2 linked regions of the Macaca fascicularis genome follow. The protein of the gene in region 2 purifies or fractionates together with the protein of the main gene of each other region. This does not show direct contact. Links are inferred from orthologs where the notes say so. Each region holds a gene or a part of one and is shown on either strand. Other genes may lie near its edges.

Region 1 (3,720 bases), on a different chromosome or scaffold from region 2:
TCTCGATCTCCTGACCTTGTGATCCACCCGCCTCGGCCTCCCAAAGTGCTGGGATTATAGGTGTGAGCCACCACGCCTGGCCTGCACTTAACCTTTTTTTTTTTTTGAGACGGAGTCTCGCTTGGTAGCCCAGGCTGGAGTGAGTGGCCGGATCTCAGCTCACTGCAAGCTCCGCCTCCCGGGTTCCCGCCATTCTCCTGCCTCAGCCTCCCAAGTAGCTGGGACTACAGGCGCCCGCCACCTCGCCCGGCTAGTTTTTTGTATTTTTAGTAGAGACTAATACAAAAATACAAAAATTTTGTATTTTTAAAAATTTTGTAAAAATACAAAAATTTTGTATTTTTAGTAGAGACGGGGTTTCACCGTGTTAGCCAGGATGGTCTCGATCTCCTGACCTCGTGATCCGCCCGTCTCGGCCTCCCAAAGTGCTGGGATTACAGGCGTGAGCCACTGCGCCCGGCCCACTTAACCTTTAAGAAATGACTCCATCTCCAAGGTGGTGTGTACTTAAAAAATAAATAAATAAATAAATAAACACTTCCAGTCTCGGCAACATAGGGAGCCTCTATCTGTATAAAAATTAAAAAAATTAACCGAGTATGGTGGCACACACCTGTGGTCCCAGCAGCTCCAACGGCTGAGGTGGGAGGATGACTTGAGCCCTGGAGGTTGAGCCTGCAGTAAGCTGTGATCCTGCCACTGCACTCCAGTCTGGGCAACAGAGCAGGAACCTGTCTCAAAAAAACAAAGAAGGCCGGGCGCGGTGGCTCAAGCCTGTAATCCCAGCACTTTGGGAGGCCGAGGCGGGTGGATCACGAGGTCAGGAGATCGAGACCATCCTGGCTAACATGGTGAAACCCCGTCTCTACTAAAAATACAAAAAACTAGCCGGGCGTGGTGGCGGGCGCCTGTAGTCCCAGCTACTCGGAGGCTGAGGCAGGAGAATGGCGTGAACCTGGGAGGCGGAGCTTGCAGTGAGCCGAGATCGCGCCACTGCACTCCAGCCTGGGTGACACAGCGCGAGACTCCGTCTCAAAAAAAAAAAAAAAAAAAAAAAACAAAGAAAAGTTACCATTTGTTGAATTTGGGTAGTATCAAAGAAGAATATTCAAAATTGTTTGAGAAGGCTAAATATACTCTTCCTTTTCTCAACTACATATCTATTTAAGGCTGAATTTTCTTAATGTACCAAAACAACAGAGCACAACAGAGAAAGGGGAAGCACATATGAGAATCCAGCTATCTTCCTTAATTTTTTTTTTTTTTTTTTTTTTTTTTTTTTGAGACGGAGTCTTGCTCTGTCGCCCAGGCTGGAGTGCAGTGGCCGGATCTCGGCTCACTGCAAGCTCCGCCTCCCGGGTTCACGCCATTCTCCTGCCTCAGCCTCCCGAGTAGCTGGGACTACAGGCGCCCGCCACCTCGCCCGGCTAGTTTTTTGTATTTTTTAGTAGAGACGGGGTTTCACCGTGTTAGCCAGGATGGTCTTGATCTCCTGACCTCGTGATCCGCCCGTCTCGGCCTCCCAAAGTGCTGGGATTACAGGCTTGAGCCACCGCGCCCGGCCCAATTTTTTTTTATTTTTATTTTTTTACAATGGAGTCTCCCAGGCTGGAGTGTAATGGCGCAATCTTGGCTCACTGCAACCTCCAACTCCTGGGTTCAAGCAATCCCCCTGCGTCAGTCTCCTGAATAGCTGGGATTACAGGTGCCCATGACTATGCCCAGCTAATTTTTGTAGTTTTAGTAGAGACAGGGTTTCACCGTGTTGGCCAGGCTGGTCTCGAACTCTTGACCTCAGGTAATCCACCCGCCTCCAGCTCCCAAAGCGGTGGGATTACAGGCGTGAGACACCGTGCTCGGCCCCTTTCTTTTCTTCCTTTTAGCTGTTTTTCTTTTTTTCAGACAGGGTCTTGCTCTGCAGAGATCAGGGCTCCCTGCAGCCTCGAACCCCTGGTTCAAGCCTTCCTCCTGCCTCAGCCTCCCTAGTAGCTGGGACTACAGGCACATGCCACCACGCCTGGCTAATTTTTAAATTTTTTTTTGCAGAGACGAGAGTCTCCCTAAATTGGTAGGGCGTGTCTCAAGACTAGCCTCAAACGATCCTCCCGCCTCGGCCTCTCTAATAAGTGTTGGGATTACAGGCGTGAGCCACCGCGCTAGACTTGCTGAAATTATCTTTAAATAAGTTGTTAAAAGACCATCGCAAAAGTCTTCAACACATTGAACGGTTTTCTCTTGCTCCCTAGCTGCATGATGCTGCTTCGAGTTTGTTTTGGTGTGAGCCATCTGAGTCGCCGGACCCTCTCGAGTCTGGCTTTCACTCTGACAATCGGTCAGTGGCTTTACGAATCGGAATCGGAGTCCCCTCGATAGCTCCGCTGGGGAACAACAAACTACGAGGTTCCAATGGTGACTCTCGAGACTTAGTGAGGATCCAGGGATGTGGGCTTCCTAAAGCCCCGAACCTCCCACACTGCAGACGGTACCTCGCATTAAGGGAACAAGAGTAACAACCCCCTCACACCCCTCTGCTCTCGTGACCCACTGGCTGACCGTTGCGGACGCCCCCTGGCCGCTGATTGGCTTCCCCTGACAGTGGGCGGAACGCGGCCCCGGATTGGATATCCGAGCCCATTCGCCGTCCCTCACCCCGCACCTGCGTCCACTCTCTAGCGTCCCAAGTGAGTGGAGGGGGGATCCCGACTCCAGTCCCGGGCCTTGGCAAGCGGAACTGCGCCGTTCGGAAGCGGGAATCCCACTCAGAGCCCGGGCCTGTAAAGGCGGGGCGTCCTGGGCAGCCGGGGTTAGGGCGTCTCCCGTCGTGCACTGGGGCACCGGCGACTCACCCGGAAGGAGAAGCCGTGATCTGGCTATATGGTGGGGCGCGGGCGGTGTCGCTGTGGGGAGCTGGTGCTGTTCTCAGGTGAGAGTGCGTGGGCGGGGCCCCGGGGAGTAGGGGCTGCGCTCAGGTGAGGGGGCGTGGGCTTGAGCGTCAGTAGTGGCACTCGGGATGGTGGCATCGCTTTACATCCTAGGGAGGGACTCTCTTACCACCCGGCATTAAGGCAAGGGCTTGCTGGGGATCCAAAAACCGACTTTTCAGTTTACCTTCAAAGTATATCTTTCACTTCCTACTCCCCAGGCTTAATCGGAAAGGAAGAAGGATCATGTGGACCTTTCGGTCCTAGTTTGTTGCGAATGGAGGAGGAGTGATCGTAGTAAAAGACTGGGGACATTTACTTAAACGGCTAAGACTGGGGGCAATGGCGAGTATTTTACGTGGACACGGGAGACTTGCGGTAGATTGTGGTCGCCGTTGTTAATTACCTTCCAAGTGAAAGGAGTAGGTTAGAGATGGACAAAAAGATGGAGCATAACTGCTTGGTTGAGATCATACAAAGCTTGGTCAGAACTGGGAGCTTCCTCTATCTAGTACGTGTGATATTTATAATTGGAGGGAGAGCTTTTTGAATTGCTATCTGCCATCTGGCACTAAGGGCTCAAGATTGAGTAAGAAGGGACGGTAGTCTCAGTAGTTCCATCTACTTTAATCACCTGATTTTTTTCTTAACCTGTCTCTTGAAGTTGTTTAAATGGGAGAGAAAATAAATGGTGAGACTAAAGCCTTGTATTGTTACTATATTAGAAGCTTTACGATGAATCTACTTTGTAAACAGCAAACAATTGGGTACTCACCAGCGCTACTGGTGCTGGTACAGG
Region 2 (3,645 bases):
CAAAACCTCTTCACCGGCTACTTTCGCTCGCTGCTCGATTCGGATGACTCCTCCGATCTCTTGGACTTTGCCCTCTCAGCCTCTCGCCCAGAGTCCCGGAAGGCATCAGGCACCTATGCAGGGCCACCCACCAGCGCCCTACCTGCCCAGCGGGGCCTTGCCACCTTCCCTAGCCGGGGAGCCAAGGCCAGCCCAGTGGCAGTGGGTAGTGGTGGGGCTGGGGCGGACACCTCCTTCCAGCCTGTCCTGCCCACGCGCCAGACCTTCCCACCAGGACGGGCAGCGAGCTATGGGCTAACTCCGGCCACTTCAGACTGCCGGGCAGCCGAGACCTTCCCCAAGCTGGCTCCCCCGCCCTCAGCCGTGGCCCGCTCACCTACCACCCACCCGCCTGCCAACACCTACCTGTCCCAGTATGGCGGCTACGGGGCTGGACAAAGCGTATTTGCCCCGGCTAAGCCCTTTACAGGCCAGGACTGCGCTAACAGCAAGGACTGCAGCTTTGCCTATGGCAGTGGCAACAGCCTCCCTGCCTCACCCAGCAGCGCCCACAGCGCCGGCTATGCCCCACCGCCTACCGGGGGCCCCTGCCTGCCACCAAGCAAGGCCTCCTTCTTCAACAGCTCTGAGGGGGCCCCCTTCTCTGGTTCAGCCCCCACGCCCCTGCGCTGTGACAGCCGGGCCAGCACAGTCTCGCCTGGTGGCTACATGGTGCCCAAGGGCACCACAGCCTCTGCCACCTCTGCAGCCTCTGCCGCCTCCTCCTCCTCTTCCTCCTTCCAGCCCTCGCCCGAGAACTGTCGCCAGTTTGCGGGGGCTTCTCAGTGGCCTTTCCGGCAGGGCTATGGAGGCCTGGACTGGGCCTCAGAGGCCTTTAGTCAGCTCTACAATCCCAGTTTTGACTGCCACGTCAGTGAGCCCAACGTGATCCTGGACATCTCCAACTACACACCACAGAAGGTGAAGCAGCAGACGGCTGTGTCGGAGACCTTCTCCGAGTCATCCTCCGACAGCACCCAGTTCAATCAGCCGGTCGGTGGCGGCGGGTTTCGGCGTGCCAACAGCGAAGCCTCAAGTAGTGAGGGCCAGTCGAGCCTGTCCAGCCTGGAGAAACTGATGATGGACTGGAACGAGGCATCATCTGCCCCCGGCTACAACTGGAACCAGAGTGTCCTCTTTCAGAGTAGCTCCAAGCCGGGCCGTGGACGGCGGAAGAAGGTGGACCTATTCGAGGCCTCACATCTGGGCTTCCCAACATCCGCCTCTGCCGCTGCCTCAGGCTACCCATCCAAACGGAGCACTGGGCCCCGGCAGCCGCGAGGTGGACGGGGCGGTGGGGCCTGCTCAGCCAAGAAGGAGCGGGGTGGTGCAGCGGCCAAAGCCAAGTTCATCCCCAAGCCACAGCCGGTCAACCCACTGTTCCAGGACAGTCCTGACCTAGGCCTGGACTACTATAGCGGGGACAGCAGCATGTCACCACTGCCCTCACAGTCGAGGGCCTTCGGCGTGGGAGAGCGAGACCCCTGTGACTTCATAGGACCCTACTCCATGAACCCGTCCACGCCTTCCGATGGCACCTTCGGCCAAGGCTTCCACTGCGACTCGCCCAGCCTGGGTGCTCCCGAGCTTGATGGCAAGCATTTCCCACCGCTGGCCCACCCGCCCACGGTGTTCGACACCGGCCTGCAGAAGGCATACTCGCCCACCTGCTCGCCTACACTGGGCTTCAAGGAAGAGCTGCGGCCACCGCCCACCAAGCTGGCTGCCTGCGAGCCCCTCAAGCATGGGCTCCAGGGGGCCAGCCTGGGCCACGCAGCTGCAGCCCAGGCCCACCTGAGCTGCCGGGACCTGCCACTGGGCCAGGCCCACTACGATTCCCCCAGCTGCAAGGGCACAGCATATTGGTACCCTCCAGGCTCGGCTGCCCGCAGCCCGCCCTATGAAGGCAAGGTGGGTACAGGGCTGCTGGCTGACTTCCTGGGCAGGACGGAGGCCGCGTGCCTCAGTGCCCCTCACCTGGCTAGCCCACCAGCCACGCCCAAGGCCGACAAGGAGCCACTGGAAATGGCCCGGCCCCCTGGCCCACCCCGTGGCCCTGCTGCAGCCGCTGCTGGCTATGGCTGCCCACTCCTTAGTGACTTGACCCTGTCCCCCGTGCCGAGGGACTCGCTGCTGCCCCTGCAGGACACCGCCTACAGGTACCCAGGCTTTATGCCCCAGGCGCATCCTGGCCTGGGAGGGGGCCCCAAGAGCGGCTTCCTGGGGCCCATGGCGGAACCTCACCCTGAGGACACATTCACCGTCACGTCCCTGTAGTGCCAACTGAAGTGCCGACTGGACCGCGAGGTTTTGTTCCTGGGTGAGTCTGGGGATGTGGGCGCAGTGGGCAGAAGCCTGGGGGTGGGGAGAGGACATCAGAGCTTAGTCAAGGACAGAAGTATGGAGTGCAGGAAGCAGATGCAGGATTTAAGGGCAAGGCTGGGGACCGACAGCAGGGCATAGGGACTGAGGATTCGCTGTTGCGGACAGCCTCAGAAGGAGATGGGGTACTTGGGCTGGGAACTCGGCAAGGGGCTTGGACTTTCAGGGGGTCTTGTTAATTGAAATGGCCAGAGGACTATACACTGGATGGGTCCCCGTAGTTTGGTTCATCAAGCTTTCAGTTCTTTGTTCGTGCTATGTCTTGGATAGGAAGTATTTCCCAGGAAATACACTGATAAGAGCGGGCATTTACATTGCCCTGTGTGAGACAGGTGAAGGGAGGAGCAGGTTGGATGGTCGTCTACCCAGGGCCTATCCAGAGCACCAGCCCTGCTGGCACCCCCATTTCCCTGGGAACTTCATCGATTCTAAGAGGCAGCCTGGTGAGGGCCAGGCCAAGAGTGGCCAGTATGGCATGGTCACACACTCTGCGAGGGCTTCACAGGATGGCCCAAAGTGTCTTCCCTTGACCTCTCAAGGTACCCCCAAAGGCTATTTTCCAACATCTTTGGCCTGAGATAGGCTAGGTGTGGCCAGGAGCATATGGGGTAGGAACCCAGAAGTGGAGAAGGGGTGCTGGGATCCCACTGTCCCTGCAAACCTGCAACCAGTGAGACTATCTTCAGGCAAGGTATTTTGACCCTAGAAAAGCCAGTCCCTTTCCTGAAGCCAAAGGCTTTTCTGAGAGTACAGTTAAAGAGTGTTAAATGTTTCGATACTGTTTTTATCAGGTACTGTGACCTCATTAGTTGGAGTCAGTTTTAGTATTCTCAAGATTGGGTGTTTTAAAAAAGGAAAATAAAATACAGAAAAATGCCCCCAAAATGATCAAAGAGAACAAGGTGGAAGGAGCCATCTTGAAGAACAGCCTGCTCCAGAAATACAGCCGCCACTGGCCCCGCTTTTGGACAATAGATCTGTCACAAAGTTGTCCCAGATGTGGTAGTGGGTGGCAGGGCAGGCTGGGGGCATGCCTGCGCCCCTCACCCTTCACCTTTGCTGCCACTGAAGCTTCCTGGGAGTTTCTCTTCCTGGAGGAGTAGCTGGGCTCCTGGAAAGTCCCATCCGTGCTCTGGGAGGCCATTCAAGGCCAGGGTGACTCAGGGTCCTGAAGTCATGTCAGTGGAAACTTGTTGCCCGCTCTCTGCCAGACCCCAGCTCCCC

What was found. The genes of interacting proteins can lie anywhere in the genome.
Region 1: the proteins of AHDC1 (region 2) and CBX1 purify together in Homo sapiens (affinity purification with mass spectrometry; 4 studies listed by BioGRID and IntAct, with this or other methods). This does not show direct contact. The link is inferred for Macaca fascicularis from reciprocal best matches to the Homo sapiens genes AHDC1 and CBX1.

What each region holds. Positions count from the first base shown.
Region 1 is NC_088390.1:58,617,945-58,621,664, reverse strand, and holds the start of CBX1 (chromobox protein homolog 1), read right to left. Parts: upstream 2,829-3,720; 5' UTR 2,657-2,828; exon of another isoform or gene 2,615-2,656; intron 732-2,614; 5' UTR 614-731; intron 1-613. UniProt on the Homo sapiens protein: Component of heterochromatin. Recognizes and binds histone H3 tails methylated at 'Lys-9', leading to epigenetic repression. Interaction with lamin B receptor (LBR) can contribute to the association of the heterochromatin with the inner nuclear membrane.
Region 2 is NC_088375.1:207,521,706-207,525,350, forward strand, and holds part of AHDC1 (transcription factor Gibbin), read left to right. Parts: coding exon 1-2,316; 3' UTR 2,317-2,359; intron 2,360-3,645. UniProt on the Homo sapiens protein: Transcription factor required for the proper patterning of the epidermis, which plays a key role in early epithelial morphogenesis. Directly binds promoter and enhancer regions and acts by maintaining local enhancer-promoter chromatin architecture.